Struthio camelus: one gene and its partner. The protein of the gene in region 1 interacts with the protein of each later gene in a pairwise test. Links are inferred from orthologs where the notes say so. Each region holds a gene or a part of one and is shown on either strand. Other genes may lie near its edges.

Region 1 (7,861 bases):
AAAAGAAAAAAAAAAGGACAGGTTTCTTACCACGACAGTAAAGGAGAAACAGAACCAACTGGAAACTCCTGCAGAAGAGGTGGAAATTAAAAGCCCCTTTTCCCCCTAGGAGTTGCCTTTAAATAATGGGTACTGGATTGGCATCGTGATCTTTGCCTCTCCCAAGTAATCTGCCTAGATTACTACAATCTTAAAGACAAGAAAGGGTTAGAAATACTTACTCCTTTAACATGTCCTCGTAACACGTTCTGAAAAGAAAACACAATGAGAAGTTCAGTAAGAAAAGTGGAATTACTGAATGGTAACCCATGTGGACAGAAAGGAGGAGAAAAGCACACAGCTATCCCCAAACCAGAAGTCAAAAATATCCTGGGTTAAAGTGGAAAGAAGGCCTCTCAGGAAAAGTGTTTGGTATTTAGGCAAAATCATGAGACAAAGCACGTTTAATGCCTTTCTGATGTCTTGAAAAGTAAGATGAAAGAACAGAGTCGGCAATACAACAATGTTGGTTTGGTTACAGTTCGCTGAAAAAAAAGGCTGTGATGCATCACAGGATAACTTCAAGATGGACAGGAATCAAAGGAAGGTTCAATTTGGGGAGGCCTGACATTGTCAAACGTGGAGGCCGTTAAATCAGCTCACAGAGGCAAAGGGGAAAACCAAGAAAGCCAACACAGCAACAAGAAGCTGTTTCTGTAGGACACTGCACAAAGGAAAAACATCACGTCAAGGCTACACTGGGAGCAGGATGGAAGGGAAACCCATGGCCTTCTTGTAATTACTCCTCCAGAGGCACCCAGCGCTGTATATTACCACACCATAAAATCCTGACAGAGCGGGCAGTTTTTGTAGAGAAACAAAGCATTCAGTGCTCCTGGTGGCTGTGTAAGGAGAAAATTTAAGACTTAATGCATGAACTGGCACCAGCCTCTTAAACCCATTGTGCAACTGCTTTCTGCACCAAGAAGAGATTTCTCTATGGGATTCTTTAGATTTCAGTAACAGAAGGAAATTCAACATAGGAAAACTCAAAATAAACAGGAAACAGGCCCCTCCACCAACAAGATTTACTGGACTTTGGAAGAAAGCTATCCTTTCTGAAGGAAGCACTTTCTGATGAAATACAGGCTGTCTCCTACTACCTGGGTCCCTTAGAAACCAGCTGTAATAACTCAGACCAACCAGGCCTGTCGTAGCGCTGAGACAACAGCACACACAACGCAGTAGGTACTCTCAACGCTCAAATTTCTGAAATACTTTACCTGTGAAGAAGGTGACCACATGGCAGAACATGAGCTCCAACACGAGACGTGTGAATGTCCTGTTTCAAGACAAATAGTACACAAAAGAACCATTAACTACAAACACAGCAAGAAGCACAAGCAAACACAATTTTAAGAGAGTTGAATAGAAGCAGCTCACCTCCAAACATATTGGACAATCTTGCCTGGAGACGTTTTCGATGCACTTTACAAAAACAAAGAAAAGTTATTCTACTGCACAGATAGCTGCATTTTTAAAGTCTAAAATTCCTTTAGAATAAATAAAGAGGTATAAGCCTTACTCTGTTCATTTAGGGTTGAAATTCTGAGAATTAACAACTACTCTAGTCTAATAAAAAAAAAAAAAACTAGCTTGAAATAACATGCAAGAAATTGTTTCCAGGGCCCTCACAACCATAGATAGCCTAGCTCTTCCTATACTACAGCAGAAACAGCAGCTCAAACAGATGTGTTGCTGTGTCTGCAGTGAAGGCAGAGAAGAACATGACTGATATTTATATATCCTGTAGCTCAAAGCCCACCCAGGAGCATTCTGTGTTGCTGTTCAGGAAAGACGCATTTAGAGAAGGAGGAGAGAGCCTGCCGCTTCCCCAATCTGTATAGCCTTAGATCAACTCGAGGCACTTCTGACTGCAGGAAAAACATTTTTGTTTTGTTTGTTTAAAAATGACAAAGTGGTATATTCTCACCTTGTGTTTCCCTCGAAGACTCAAACTTAGGCATAAATTACACTTTGAACAGTGGAAGAAATCTTCCTTCGGGCCGATCCTAAGGAGACAAGGCCCAGTCAAGAACAGCTTAGGACTTTGCACGGCTCTGCTTTGTTTTCCACCCAAACGCTCCCCAAGTGACAGAAGCCTAATTCCCAAGCCAAGTTACCTACGGAACAGCCGTAATTCGTACGGACTGCAGACAAGCTCTCGTTCTTAGCAACGTTTTGCCACGACTGAAGTAAAACACGGGCCTGCTTAGACTGCAAAGAACAAGCGCAAGCCTCTGCCGAGCCGACCGCAGCTCCAGGCTCCGGTGCCTTTTACCCGCAGGAGGCGCCCGACGGCAACAGCCCGGCCACAAGCGCCGGGCTCCGGAAAGCCGTTTTTTTTTTTTTGCCCCGTTTCCCCCCGGAGCAGCCCGCCCGCACCTGCAGATGCCGCACTCGGCGCAGTGGTACTGCTTCTTGTCGCGGTCGAAGAGATGGCAGATGCCGCAGTAGTACTCCCCAAAGAGGCTGTGGCAGCCCTCGCAGCTCTGCTGCGCCTGCCGCCGCCGCGCCGGCCCGGGGAGGGGAAAGGAAGCGAAGAGAAAGCAAAGGAGACGACCGTTAGGCACGCGGCGCCGCCGCCCAACATGGCGGCCGCACCCCCCCCCGAAATGGCGGCCCCCACCCCCCAACATGGCGGCCCCCGCGCCGCTGCCGCCATGGCGGCCGCCGCGGGCCGTGCCCACCTTCTGCAGGCGGCGGCAGCGGGCGCACTGCACCTCCGCCACGCGGAAGCGGTCCAGGCGGTGGCCCTCGGCGCCGTCGTGGCACAGCCGGCAGGCGTACAGCTTCCCGCAGCACGGCGCCTGCAACGAGACGGGACACCTCAGCAGGCGGCGACCAGCCCTCCGAGGCGGCGTGGCCGCCACCGCGCCCCCGGTTGCTGCTGCTGCTGCTGCTGCGGCGCCCGCCCCGCCGCCTCACCCGGAGCAGGCAACCGCGGCGGTAATGCTCGCAACCCTCCTCGCCGCCCGCCGCCATGGCCGCGCACTGCCGCTCCCCCCCCCCCCCAGCAGTGGCCCCGCCCCCGCGCTTCCGCCCCCCACTTCCGCCTTCGCCGGGGGACGGGGCCGGCGCCTGCGCACACGGCCCCTGGTAGGCACGTGGTAGAGAGGGGTGTGTGTGATGCGTGTCGACGCGGTGCGGGGATCTATCCGTATTCACACGCGCGGTATGGGTGCACGCATGCGCCTCTCTATACGTGCGGATGCCTTCACAGCGATGCAGCTCTGTGCATATACCCAGAGGCACAGACAGCTGTGGCACCTGTCCAAAAGGAGCCTCCTTCTGCCCTCTTCTGTTCCAGAAAGGAAGAGGAGGGTTTTGGGGGAAAAGGCCCATCAAAGGCTTCCCTCAGGCTGCTGAGATTTCCGATTGCCTCTGCTTTGCTGCGGCACTGGAGCCCAGGTGGCTGCCGGCTTCCCTAAAGGAAGGGAAGGTGAGGAAGCGCGACGTATGCATTTTCAACAAGCAAGAGCAGGGATTCATGGCAAACGCTCCCGTGAAAATGCCATAAACCAGGGACCTGTGCTTCTCGAGGCTTAGCTTTTTAATAGGGATTTTTTAGGCAGGCCTTAGCTACTGAAAAATAATCAAAAAATATTTGGAGTAAGCCCCCAGTTTCTGGCTCCAGGGTCCCAGTTTCCTTACCTGAAATGGGCAGCTTTGGTCCAGGCAGGATAACAAGTCAAGCTTTATGTCATCTCATAGGAAAAGAGAATTGTAAAGCTCGTTGCTTCCTAGAAATGCAATTCTGGGGCTACGGGCATGCTAAAGTTCTTGCAACTTCGGTGTCTTCTTCCAAAAGCCGCAGGCGTAGGTCTGCCACAGGGCACCGCAAGGAGGCAGGAGCTCTACAGAGCTCCCTCAGTCAGGGAGACTATCAGGGTGAGTTTCCTTAAGGCTGCGTTAAAGGGGTTTCAGATCATGTTTGCTTTTTATTTTTGCCATGGGTGCATTAAATGTGCTTATCACATAGCTAACTGCACGCTTCTTTTTGCACAAAGTGAAAGACAGAAGCACGCATTTTTTCTAAAAAATATAAACCCAGTGTACGAGTGCGGCATGTAGGACATTTAATGGCACAGCTGCTAGTTAAAGTAAATCAACTCATCATCTCTAATTAATAATTTTTAGTTTGAATCTAGTGTGAACGCACTTACCAAACCACAGGGTGTACAAAAACAAGATGGGGCAATAGTGGTTGCTTTCTGCTACACACTGTTTCAGCAGTGAGCAGCAGCAGCAATTTGTAATAATCACAGAATAGCTGGGGTTGGAAGGTATCTCTCCTCCAACCCCCTGCTGAAGCAGGGTCACTTCAAGCCGGTTGCCCAGGACCATGTCCAGTCAGGTTTTGAATACCTCCAGGGACGGAGACACCACAACCTCTCTGGGCAACCTGTGCCAGTGTCCAACCACTCTCAGAGGAAAGTGGTGCCTTTTTTTAATTTTATTTTATTTTAAACAAACAAGCTATCCGGAGGGGACTTCCTGTATTTCAATTTGCACCTATTGCCTCTCGTCCTGTCACTGGGTACCACTGAGAAGAGTCTGGCTCCATCTTTACATCTAATCATCATTTGCCCTTTGATGTGTTTAATTCCCCCCCTGACCCTAGGCATCTAAAATGATGCAGAGAAGAGGAACCTGTGCTTGTAGATGGTTACAAAACAATCGTATCTCAGCTGTTAAATAAAAAATGATCCAAAAATCCTCTCTCTTTTCCAGTGCAGGCAATGCTACCAGCACAAATAAGCAGATATAATACCAAGTTTGAACCCAGAGAAGACTTGAGTCACCACAACCTTACATTTGCAAACACACACTAGCAGCCAGGAGTTTAGAATTTGAATATCCTTTTATTTACAAAATTTAAATATACATGTCAGAACATAGCATAGCCACAAAGATCTAAATATGATGACACCCACACTGCCATGGTATGCTGATGGGAAAGGCCCTGCTCTGTGGAATGACAACACAGTTCCAAAGCTAACTGCACCAGACAGGGGTTTGAGCTGCAACAACAGCATTGAGCTGCCAAAGAACAGCGTCGAGAGCAACACAGGGACACCATAGGCTGACTAAAGTCAACTTGAGAACAGTTAAATAAAAATGGTCTTGTAACTGTCCAAAGGTAAGACTGATCTGTTCTTTTTCTCCCCACACTCCACTGTCGAGTTTCCAGTTACATGTCCCATTTCCCCCCCCCCCCGCCTGATATACTTAAAAGGACGGATGAATTGAATGAGTTACCAACCACTCCTCTGAAGCCATTTCACATGCGACTTGCTCCACAGCTCAACGTGTTATACCGATAACTCTTCCTTCAGCATTAACAGGAGTCACACATGCACTCAAGTGCAGCCAGTCAACAGGCCCAGTTAAACGTCTAGAAACAACTGCCCAAAAGCTGGAGAGGGAGAGTATCCAGGGAAAAGGACCCTAACACAACTGCACGCACGCTCCTGAGCGTTAGCAAGGGTTTCAAAGGAACCGTTAGGAACATTTGTATGTTTAACAATATCTTTCTTCCACAAACATTTCCCATGGACATTTTTGCCAAGACAAAGATGCTTTCCAATACAGACCAGATAGCTCACCAAAATATAACAAATTCAGCAGCTCTCATATTCTCATTGAATAACACCCTCTCAAGAGAGCAGTAGTTAGACAAAAGGAAACCCCCGCTTTCTTCAAAAATCCTCCAAGCCAACTTCTGCCCCTGTCACCCACCAATAAACCACCACTTCTTTCTGAGCAACTTCAGTCAAGACTTGGCCCTAAGCCAGGAAGTCAACATCTCAGGAACTGTTTCACATGCAAGAAATCCAGCAGCAACGGCAATGAGAGCTCTGTCCTTGGACTCAGTCTGAGCCACGCCCCATGGCAGTCCACTGTGCTAACAAGAGAGTTAAGGGATTCTCCTCTCTTCCGCAGAAACCATGCGGCATTAGCACCTGGAGACTCAGCTGGACTGTTCCCACTCTTTCAGCCACCTGCATCAAGAGGAGAAAGACAGGGTGACGTTACAGACGGGCAAACAAGCACAGGGGCATTCCATGGCAATATGCTTCCTTTACTTCTGTTTAGTGTGTGTCCTTACCTCCCTAAAGTTGTGTTTCAGAGATGAGCCAACCTCAGTAACGTTTCTTTTTCCCCCATTTATATTGTCAGGATTGCTTCCCACCCCAATAATTTTTCTTCTTCCTTCCTAATAGCACTAAGCTATTGCATCACTTGAATTCAAGTGCCAAAAACACTCATGTGGGTTAAGAGCCAGTGCATCTGTACACAAGACTAAAAATAGATTTCAGAGCAGACAGTTGCTCCATCTCCTCAAAAAGGAGGACACATACAGGAGCCCAAAATATAAAACTACAACGCACAATTTGCACTCGCACATTAACAGTACTCCTATGGCATACAAACAGCTATCTGTAGCAAAACATTTAAAAACAGCTCCAGTGAAACCAGGTAAGGCCAAAGGGAAGCTGAAGTGCCTGGTGGTCTCTGTGGCCACAGTGAGAGTCACCTCGGGGCATGTAGGTGATCACATCCAAGCCAGAGCATTGAGTACAGCCCATCCATGCATGACGCAGAGCTCCAACGGAGCCAGTGAGATTTTGGAGCACTGCCTCTGAGGACCCTTCCAAAACACCTTGCCTCCTTCCACTGCTCCTCCGTTATCCTCTCTAACTTCTGCTCCCTCTGCAAGGCGCTGTTCTTCTGTCCAGCCTCAGTGAGCTGAGCAAGATGGGTGCTTATGAGAGTACAAATCCTCTCAAAGCAAAGCACTGCAGTTCTCACTTTCAAGACAAATTAGAGAAACTCCCAGCACATGCAACCGACTGCCAAGTAGATGCTCAGCTATTACAGCAACAAGAGAACAATACCCCAACAGAAGAAACTCAGCCTTTTCTATGACTTTTCTTTCAGACAAAACCACCTACAGAACCACATTTCTTTTCATGGGCAAAGTTAGAGTCTATTAAAAAAAAAAAAATCACATTTAAGACTGCCTGCCTAAAACAACCTAGAATATAGGATATAATTCTAAGTGAAAGTCCAGAGTGGTAGACTTCAAACTTCACACTTCAATCTTAAGACATCTATTACAGTCATGACTTCTCCAAAGCCTCCTTCTCTCCCAGACCCCTACGTCATGCTTGGAGAGCACTGAGCTACCAACAGCTAAACTAATACATTTTAATGGAGTAAAATTGCATGATATAGTTATTAAAAGTCTTCCATGAGTTAAACTTAACAGGTCCCCAAAGTGCTTTTCTCTCTTTTGCAAGTCCATTTTCTGTGGTGCACTTAAAAGTGCTGTGCATATAACCCATTCCTTCACCCCTCACATGCAGCCAGCCGGTTTTCCTTCTTTGTCACTCCATTAGCTTCCTCAGCCTCCAAATCCATGAGGTGATTAATCCCAACATCAATGCCCAGCACCTCAGCTCGGGAAAACCATTTACTCGCCCTGCAATGTGCCATGGCGCATTTCAGAATCAGGGAAGAGTTCCGTGCTGCCCTCTAAAAAAAACCTGTCCTAGCCAGGTATCCGTGACCCAGAGTGTGAAGCATAAAAGAACACTCCCAGCGCAACTCCCAACTAGCATGAGCGTTCATCAAATGATCCATTTGAAAGACACTAGAAGGCTAAGCTGCATAAATTAAAGCCTACGTTTTAGAGGCAGGTGTAATCCCATTCTCCTTCAGGTTAATGCTCGACTCTGGGGAAGCTGGCTTCTGATGCATCGGATATCAAGGTCCCCGATAGCTGTAAATTGGGTAGGAAGAACAAGGAGAGGGT
Region 2 (7,725 bases), on another chromosome or scaffold:
GCGTAGATCTAGAACATTTTGCTATGTCTTGTGCTTTACTTTAAAGGAGTTTTAGAGTTTTTAGAGTTTCATATGAGTTTAGATTAGTTTTTCATAATTTGATTCAAAATTATGTTACACACAAATAACTAAACAGCACCTGTGCAAAGCCAGCTATCTAAATCTCTGAGGCACTCATTGATGCTGAGAGTGGAATGTACCATTACAACTGGATACATGGAAAAAATTCCATATTAGTTTTCACAATCAATTAATAAACTCACTTTCACAAAAACTGGTAGCATTTTTTGGAAACTGAAAGAACGTCTACGTGCCTCTGTGATGTTAAAGATGAAATCTCTGCTTGTGGAGGTACAATCTGCAGCAAGAACACACGTCTGACAAGACTCTGGCATTGCTGATATTTTGTCTAGACAGACTTTGAATATGACTGACACAGGAACACGACACATGGTTGAGGAAATTGAAACTTATGGACGAGCTTTTTAAGACTTAGCTAACAGAGTATTTTGGAAGCGTGCCTAGCATCCTCCAACCACTCCTGGAATCCTCCTCAGGAATCTAACAGGATTTTGTTTCGCGAAGTCTCCCAGTTGTCCCAGAGGACATAAAGACAGATCTGCTTAGGTAAGATGCTACCAGAGGTATTTGGACACAATTAAATATTGTTAACAAGTGGAGAGTGCAATTTTCTGGCTAGGCACCAAGAAAGGCATTCAAGTAGTTGTGACCACTATTCAGAAGGAATCTAGACTATTAGGAACTATTAACCTTTTCTCGACTATCAGACTTGACTATGGGTAACACATGACATCTATGACCTAAAGGACAGAAGTGACTAATTAGAGTTGATAACTGTTCCAGTCCTTGTTTTAGAAAGCATTACATATTTACTTGACCTTCTGGGCCATGTCAGAAGTAGTCTGACCCATGTGTATGCTTTGGCGGGAAAGTCCACATGAACTTGTCATAGACAGCAGATTGTAATTTCTTGGGAAATAATATCATGCACTGTCAAATGTTACTTTCAATGCATGACAAACAGCCTTAGTTCACTTAATCCTCCAGGGACTGTCAGAACTATATAAAACAGAGAAAAACGTGAAAGAGACTCAAGTACAAGGTCATCGGCTTTAACTTTAGTTGGTTCACATCCAATTCAACTGTCGCTGAAGTCAACAGTTCTGCCCTAACTTAATGGGATTTGACTCTAACCTCTATCAATCAGTATCACTGATGGTACTGTTCAGCAGCCCAGAAGGAAAAATAACCAAACTTAGGCATTAGTTTGCATTCCAGAAAAAATCCAGGCCTTAAGACACCTTTTTACAATGGCAGTAAAAGCGCCACTAATGGCTATGATCCTCAAAGGTCCAGATAATTTTTTGCACCCAACAAAAAAACTAGCCTTGGTTAAATAAAAAATATGGTTGTTGTTTCTTTTCTCTAAAAAAAAAAAAAGGAGCTCAATGAACCTTATCTTAATTCTGACATAGAAATTTGCACCCCTGACCTACTCAAATTCACAAACTCGACCTACTAACTGGGTATTAAGTGTGTAGGCAGTTAATGCAGCAATATTTGTGAAATAAGAATGGGATACTGAGAAACGTTTTATCATCAGGGATCACCGAAACAGAGACTTTTTCAGACTTTCTGTAACTCAGTGGGAACTACAAAATGTATTTTTTAATTATACTGTGGATTCATAGAAAAAAAAGTGCTTTGGTCGAGGTGCAAGGTGAAAGTTGTTATTTTATTTCTGAATCGGGAACCAGCTGTCTCCTGCCATTTCCTCTTTTCCTCCCACCCCCTCTCCCAAGTACGCTAGAAGCAACACTGTTACTGAAGCGGTAAGGCTATGAAACTGGGGGCAAGAATAGCCCTTGACCAGCAAGGTTCAGCTGCAGCACTAGGTGGTTCCCAGTGGACTTACACACATGACAGTTCAAGATCTGAATCCTTATGAAGAAAGGTGAAAAGAAACATCTTTGGTTTAATAGATCGGTTTATGAGTTTGGAACCAAAGCTAACTGGATCAGGCAAGCTGAGTCGCCTAATGGGTTTTGTGTTGCTCTCGCACTAGCACCTGCTGGGCAACGATTCCTCTGGTGGGCCAAAGGGAACAAGGCATGTTTTCTACTTTGACAGCACGCTTGAGGAGGCTGGAGCCAAATACTGGGACCAGCAGGTTCTGGTGTTTGCTGTCATCCCTTAAAAAAAAGGGTGAAACACGGGAGAAGTATTGCTGTGACCGGGCGGCGGGCGCACTTTGCCCACCGGGCTCCGTGCCGCCGCGGCCCGCTTGCACACAACAGCTCCTCGGCTTTGTCCGTGTCTTTCTCCTTCCAAACCACCCGGTTCCGCGGCCGTCGTCTCCGACCGGCTCCTCTCAACGGCCGGCCCGGGAGTCACAACATGTCGCCGTCCCGCTTTCAGGTCACCTCATGGCGCTGCCGTCGAGCGGGGCGGCCGCGCCGGGGGGCCGCGAGCGGCCGGGCCCGCCCACGCGCGCGGCGACGGCGGCGGCCGTTGGGCGGGCGGCCTGGCGGAGGGGGCAGGGGGCCGGGGCGAGACGGGGTGAGGGGGGGAACGACTTACCAGGTCTATGAAGGTCAGAAATTTCCAGCTGCCTCCATAGGTCTGATGCGCGGGCATGTCAATGGCCTTGAAATTGCACAGGATGGAGCAATAGGACAGGAGGATGGCGGCGCGCAGCACCTGGCAGGGCACCAGCGCCATGTTGCACGCTGCGCAGGGCCGGCTTCCGTGTGTGTGTGTGTCTGCAGGGCCGGCCTCCGCGGCGGCGGTCGGGCTGCGCTTCCGTGCGTGTGTGTCTATGAGTGTGTGCCCCCGCGCCCCGGCCGGGGTGGAGCGGAGCGGCCGCGCTGTGCGGCAGCGGGTGTCCTGCCGGGGCCGAGGCGGCCGGCGGCTGCGGCGGGGAGGAGCGGGGGCGGGGGGGAGCGGTGCAGGCGGCGGCGAGCGGCGGAGCCGGCGCTATTGCTCGTGTCGGCGCGCTCCCGAGCCGCGGCTCCGTCGCCGGGCCGGAGCCGTGCGCTTGCCGAGGGGCCGCGGGGCCAGGCCCGCCCGCCTGCGCTGCCGCTGCCCCGCGGGGCCTGCGGTGGCAGGTGGGTCCGGGGGCGGCCGGGGGGGGACACGGCCCTCCCGCCAGGGACGCGCGTCCCTCAGGCGTGCTCGCCCAGCCGGGAAGGAATGCGCGTATTTGCGAACTTGCGCGTGGTAAAAGAAACCCCTGTCAGCGCTTGGCGGCCCGCGTTCATTTCCCAACTAGAAACAAAAAAAAAAAAAAAAAAAGGAAAATTCAGGCGCTATCCTTCCCACCTGCAATTACGTTTTGTAATTACTGTGCAATGAACTGCTGTTTCGCATACGCGCTCCTGGGGCGACTGCACCCCCCCCCCCCGCCGCTGCCTGCCCGCCCGTGGGGGGGGAGAGGGCCCAGCGGCCGTTGCCCAGCAGCCGTTGCAGCAAGCCGGCGGCAGGCGGGGTCTTTGGCGCGGTCAGCTGACCGCGCCTCAGCCAATCCGCTGCGGGGTGGCAGCGCGCGGCGGCGGTTAGAGCAGGTGTCACCCCCAACGGCCCTCGGTGCGAGCAGGCGGCGGCAGTGGCAGCGGTGGTGTGTGGGGGGAGGCGCAGACAGTTGTGGCCGAGCAAACGCACAAGCGAGCCCACCTGATAAACACCGGTTGAGCTGTAACTCCACAGTTATGGTATGCTCTTGGTTCATATGACCTCTGCTGTGTGTTGAGAACCGTTCACAATCCTTTTGTGTATACTTTTGAGGAACCCTCAAGTCTTTCATGTCTCTTAGCAGCAAGCCTCCCACTTGTTTTGCTTATATCCAACACACGTACACACAAACAATTGCTAGAGGTGTGCTTCCTAATACTTGCAAACACCTGGAGTTGTGGCCTCATTATCCCAGTATTAAAATGTTGGGTGCGATATCTGTGCTGTTACTGGTTGTAACTAACCTCTTTGTAATAATTTCCCAGTGACCAGGAGGTCATTAGGAAGGTTCATGCCCTCAGCTCTGACTCGTGATGGCTGCCTTCTCCCTGAGAAGGCCAAAAATGCACTTACCAGCAGAAACAGCTAGTCTTGGAACAGGAAGGACTTGAATTGCAGTGCCAGTCATGTTCTGAGGGGGCCTTGAGACCAACCACCTCCTGTTTCATTATTCCAGGAGCAAATAAAATAAGTAGAAGGACACTGAAAGAACTCATGAAAGAGAAATCAAGTGAAAGACAATACCTGGATAAGTGAGCACTGGTGTAATTTCAGGGTTTAGTATTGATACCTGCCTTTGTCTAAGGGCAATGAATGAGAGCTTCTTCCGTCAGCAGAGGTTTGACCACTGAAGGGATTGTTGGTGTTATAAGCAGCTGCAGTTAAGGAGGTCTTGTGCTTGGACTTCTTCACCCTAAAAAGGATAGGTTCTTAAAGTGTTTGACTTGAGAGTTAGTTTAATTGCTCCACCAGCTGGAAAAGTTATTTTAGAAGGAAAAACACTAAGTAGCAGTGATATTGGGGCTTGAATTACACAAATGACTTCTAAACAACGTCTCCATACATCTGTCCTTTGCAATAAATATTTGAACAAGAAGTGGCTTTATCATAATTATGATACTGGAAGGCAAAAAGAATCAATGATTCTGCAATGTGTTCCCTACTTTTATTCGTCACATAGACACAAGACCTCTTAATCAGGTATCTACCGTGTTCAAGTTCTGAAAAAATGAAGGATTGTTTAGGGGAACACGTGCCAGCACCTATCCTAAAAGAAATTAGCACAATTTAAGTTATTTGCTTATGGGGAGGAATTGTATTTCAGGCACGCACAAAGAATCCTCTAGGAGCGTGGAGCATGAGTTTCGTGCTAGATCGTTAGGTTATCTTACCTATCAGTTTACAGCCACAGCAAGCACATTAGGCATTCAGACCTTTCTGTTGTCTGTGGTATGTATTTTAGTCTTACAGATCAAAAGAGTTCAGTTTCATTGAAGACTTAATGTTCAGCATTAGAGGTATCTGGATAAAACGTTGTGGCCTACAATACATAGAAGACCAGACAAATAAGGTTAATAGCGTGCCCCAGTACAAATGGATCTATGGAGTACACCAGTTGCTGCTAGGAATCTGATGTCTGTGCTGTGTGTATTGCAAGGGGCTTTACTGCAGATTAGTTCTTACCTGGACCTGTGGACTAAATGCTCATTAATGGCTGGAGTGCGTTAAGTGAACGCCTAGAGTATATCTTCTGCTTTTGTTTTTATCCAGATGGAATCCAGCTTGCATTCTAAGCCTATATCATGATATGAACCAAAGCAGAACAGTATGAGTGCAGATGATCAGTAGATTTACTTCTAAAGTGCGTTGTTGATCTGAACTATAATGCTAGTGTAGAGGCACTCTTAGTACGCAGTTCTCGCTGGACTTGAGCTTTATAAGCTTTTAAAAACAGGCTCCATGTGGGCCACTACAGCATGACTGATTACAAACATATGCATGTACATGCTCATATCTTGCAGTCAGCCTCCGACATGGAGTTCTTTGGGTTGTCTAATTCTTAGACAGTTTATGTCTTCTACTGTTCTAACTGCAACCTCCTGCTGCTGTGTAGGGGAACTCACTCCTTGGATCACCTGAACGTTGCTAACGTGTCACCACAAACAGTACTCACTGAACATCACTTACTAATTGCCATTCCCAGTTATCCTTCAAGTCACATGTGGTTACACATCTTGCAGAGTTTCAGCATCCTTAAAACTTTTTAAAAAGGGAAAAACTACCCATTTTGAGAGCCCTATTTTGAATGCTTCTTCAATTCTACTCTCCGCTCTTCCACAGAGACGTCAGTAAAGCTCACAGAAAATCCTAGCCTTGCATGAAGAAAAACATTCACCCAGCCTTGTAAACTAAGGTGAAATTTTAAGTGAAGCAGAATATGTAAACACTTTTGTTCCCCATTTTCTTCTTTCAAGACAGGTTAGCTAACATTCCAGGCTCAGCCAAGCTTCTTCCTAGCAAAGGCTCTTCTTTGTTTAGCATTTCTAGACCTCTGAAAGGAAACTTAACTCCTTTGTGGGTGGGTCCTTTGTGCATGTGTCCTTTTAAAAGGCATATCTGTTGAATCTCTGAACAGTATTATAATGAAGGCTAATTAGATTGTAGGCTGCCGTTTTCCTCTTATGTGCCATAGTGGAGTTTATACTCCCCAGCTATTGAGAAACAAGCAGCATAGTCTTTTGTGACTGTGATTGAAATACATTTGAAGTGGATTTGCTTTCCTTGGAGGATTTTGTCTTACATTTTTTCAGCAAAGTAAAAATGTGTAATTTTGATAATTTATTCTTTATCTTGGTATATGATTGCAACTTTTCAGTACTTTGTAAAATGTTTACATTTCAGGCTTTTGATCAAATCCATAAATCTTAGTAAGGTAGACTATAAGCATTTAATAGATGATATGCAAGGCTATTCCCTGATTTTTCAGGTCCTGATGTTTAAATATTTGCATATATGTAAATTGTGCATAACCACAACTAAATTTTCATAAGTCACATGATATAAGTTCATTGGAAAGTGTGAGAGTTTGACATAGGTCATACTAGTCACAGAGTGGAGATGGAAAAGTGTTTTAGACAGGAAAGCGTGTCAGAAGCACTGGTATTTCTGGGATGGGGGAGGTTAAGCAATGCTATCTACTACAGGGAGGAGGAAGCAAGATGCCTGCAAATATGTCAGAGGATTGAATGGAAAAGACTGAAAAGGTGGGTTTCCCATCCAGTTGTTATTATAAATCAGTGAAGCATGATGTTTTTGCTGTTTTGCCACTTAGGCAGAATAAGGTAACATCTTGGGAGTCCAAGTTTTAATCTTTTCTATGCAGGCTAGCAGATGAGAATGCTTAAGAGGGGTTTTGCTGTTCTTTTCTAAAGGAACTGCAACTGATTTTCTGGACAGCATTGTGTTTTGTGAATATCAAAGAATAATTTCGTGAATGGTCTTTGAAAGGTGTTTTGAGACCTGAGCAAGGAGGTGCCTTTTCTTAAGTAGGTGGTTTATATGGAAATGAGTTGTTTACAAGGAATTATGCCACAAGCAGTTACCTTCAAAGAATAATCCATAATAATGCATGCTTGAACTCATAGGAAATTCGTGATTACTGCCTCATCACAGTGTGTTCATGATGATGCACCTGATACTGCAGTTTCTAATATTTAAGGTAGAGTATACAAACTGTGCCGACATAAGTGTACTTGAATGTTTGGGAGTGTCACTCCCTTTGATTCTACCCAAGCAGATATGCAAAGATTAAGCTTTTCTTGCAATGGCTGTAAGTGTAATTATTGGAAACATTATAAAATAAAACCGCACAGGCAAGTATTGAGGAAAAGCCTGCCCATGCCTAAGAAAGAAGAGTTTTTAGAACTGTTCTTAAATGTGTATTTTTTACATATGCATGTATATATGCAATATATATAGTTCTGCAGTCAGGTGAATTATCACTGAAGGTAGTAGGTAACCACACATACCAGAGGAGGATTCAACACAAAATCTTTGCTAAGGCAGTCATTCATCTGCTGTGACTGGGCCCATTGTTAATAGTAATATTAAACTTTAGGCAAGTTTTTATTTATTTATTCTCTATATATGTTGTTAAAATAAGGAAATTTACTCTGCACAGATGTAAAGGATAAA

What was found.
Region 2: the proteins of RCHY1 (region 1) and AIG1 interact in binary tests that used the Homo sapiens proteins (3 or more experiments, as listed by UniProt). The link is inferred for Struthio camelus from reciprocal best matches to the Homo sapiens genes RCHY1 and AIG1.

Annotation. Positions count from the first base shown.
Region 1 is NC_090945.1:5,684,496-5,692,356, reverse strand, and holds the start of RCHY1 (RING finger and CHY zinc finger domain-containing protein 1), read right to left. Parts: upstream 3,075-7,861; 5' UTR 3,025-3,074; coding exon 2,968-3,024; intron 2,850-2,967; coding exon 2,730-2,849; intron 2,541-2,729; coding exon 2,425-2,540; intron 2,052-2,424; coding exon 1,973-2,051; intron 1,468-1,972; coding exon 1,423-1,467; intron 1,322-1,422; coding exon 1,263-1,321; intron 249-1,262; coding exon 222-248; intron 1-221. Other genes in the region: CDKL2 (cyclin-dependent kinase-like 2), read right to left, coding at 7,769-7,828. UniProt on the Homo sapiens protein: E3 ubiquitin-protein ligase that mediates ubiquitination of target proteins, including p53/TP53, TP73, HDAC1 and CDKN1B. Mediates ubiquitination and degradation of p53/TP53; preferentially acts on tetrameric p53/TP53.
Region 2 is NC_090944.1:76,799,659-76,807,383, reverse strand, and holds the start of AIG1 (androgen-induced gene 1 protein), read right to left. Parts: upstream 3,086-7,725; 5' UTR 2,743-3,085; coding exon 2,602-2,742; intron 1-2,601. UniProt on the Homo sapiens protein: Hydrolyzes bioactive fatty-acid esters of hydroxy-fatty acids (FAHFAs), but not other major classes of lipids. Show a preference for FAHFAs with branching distal from the carboxylate head group of the lipids.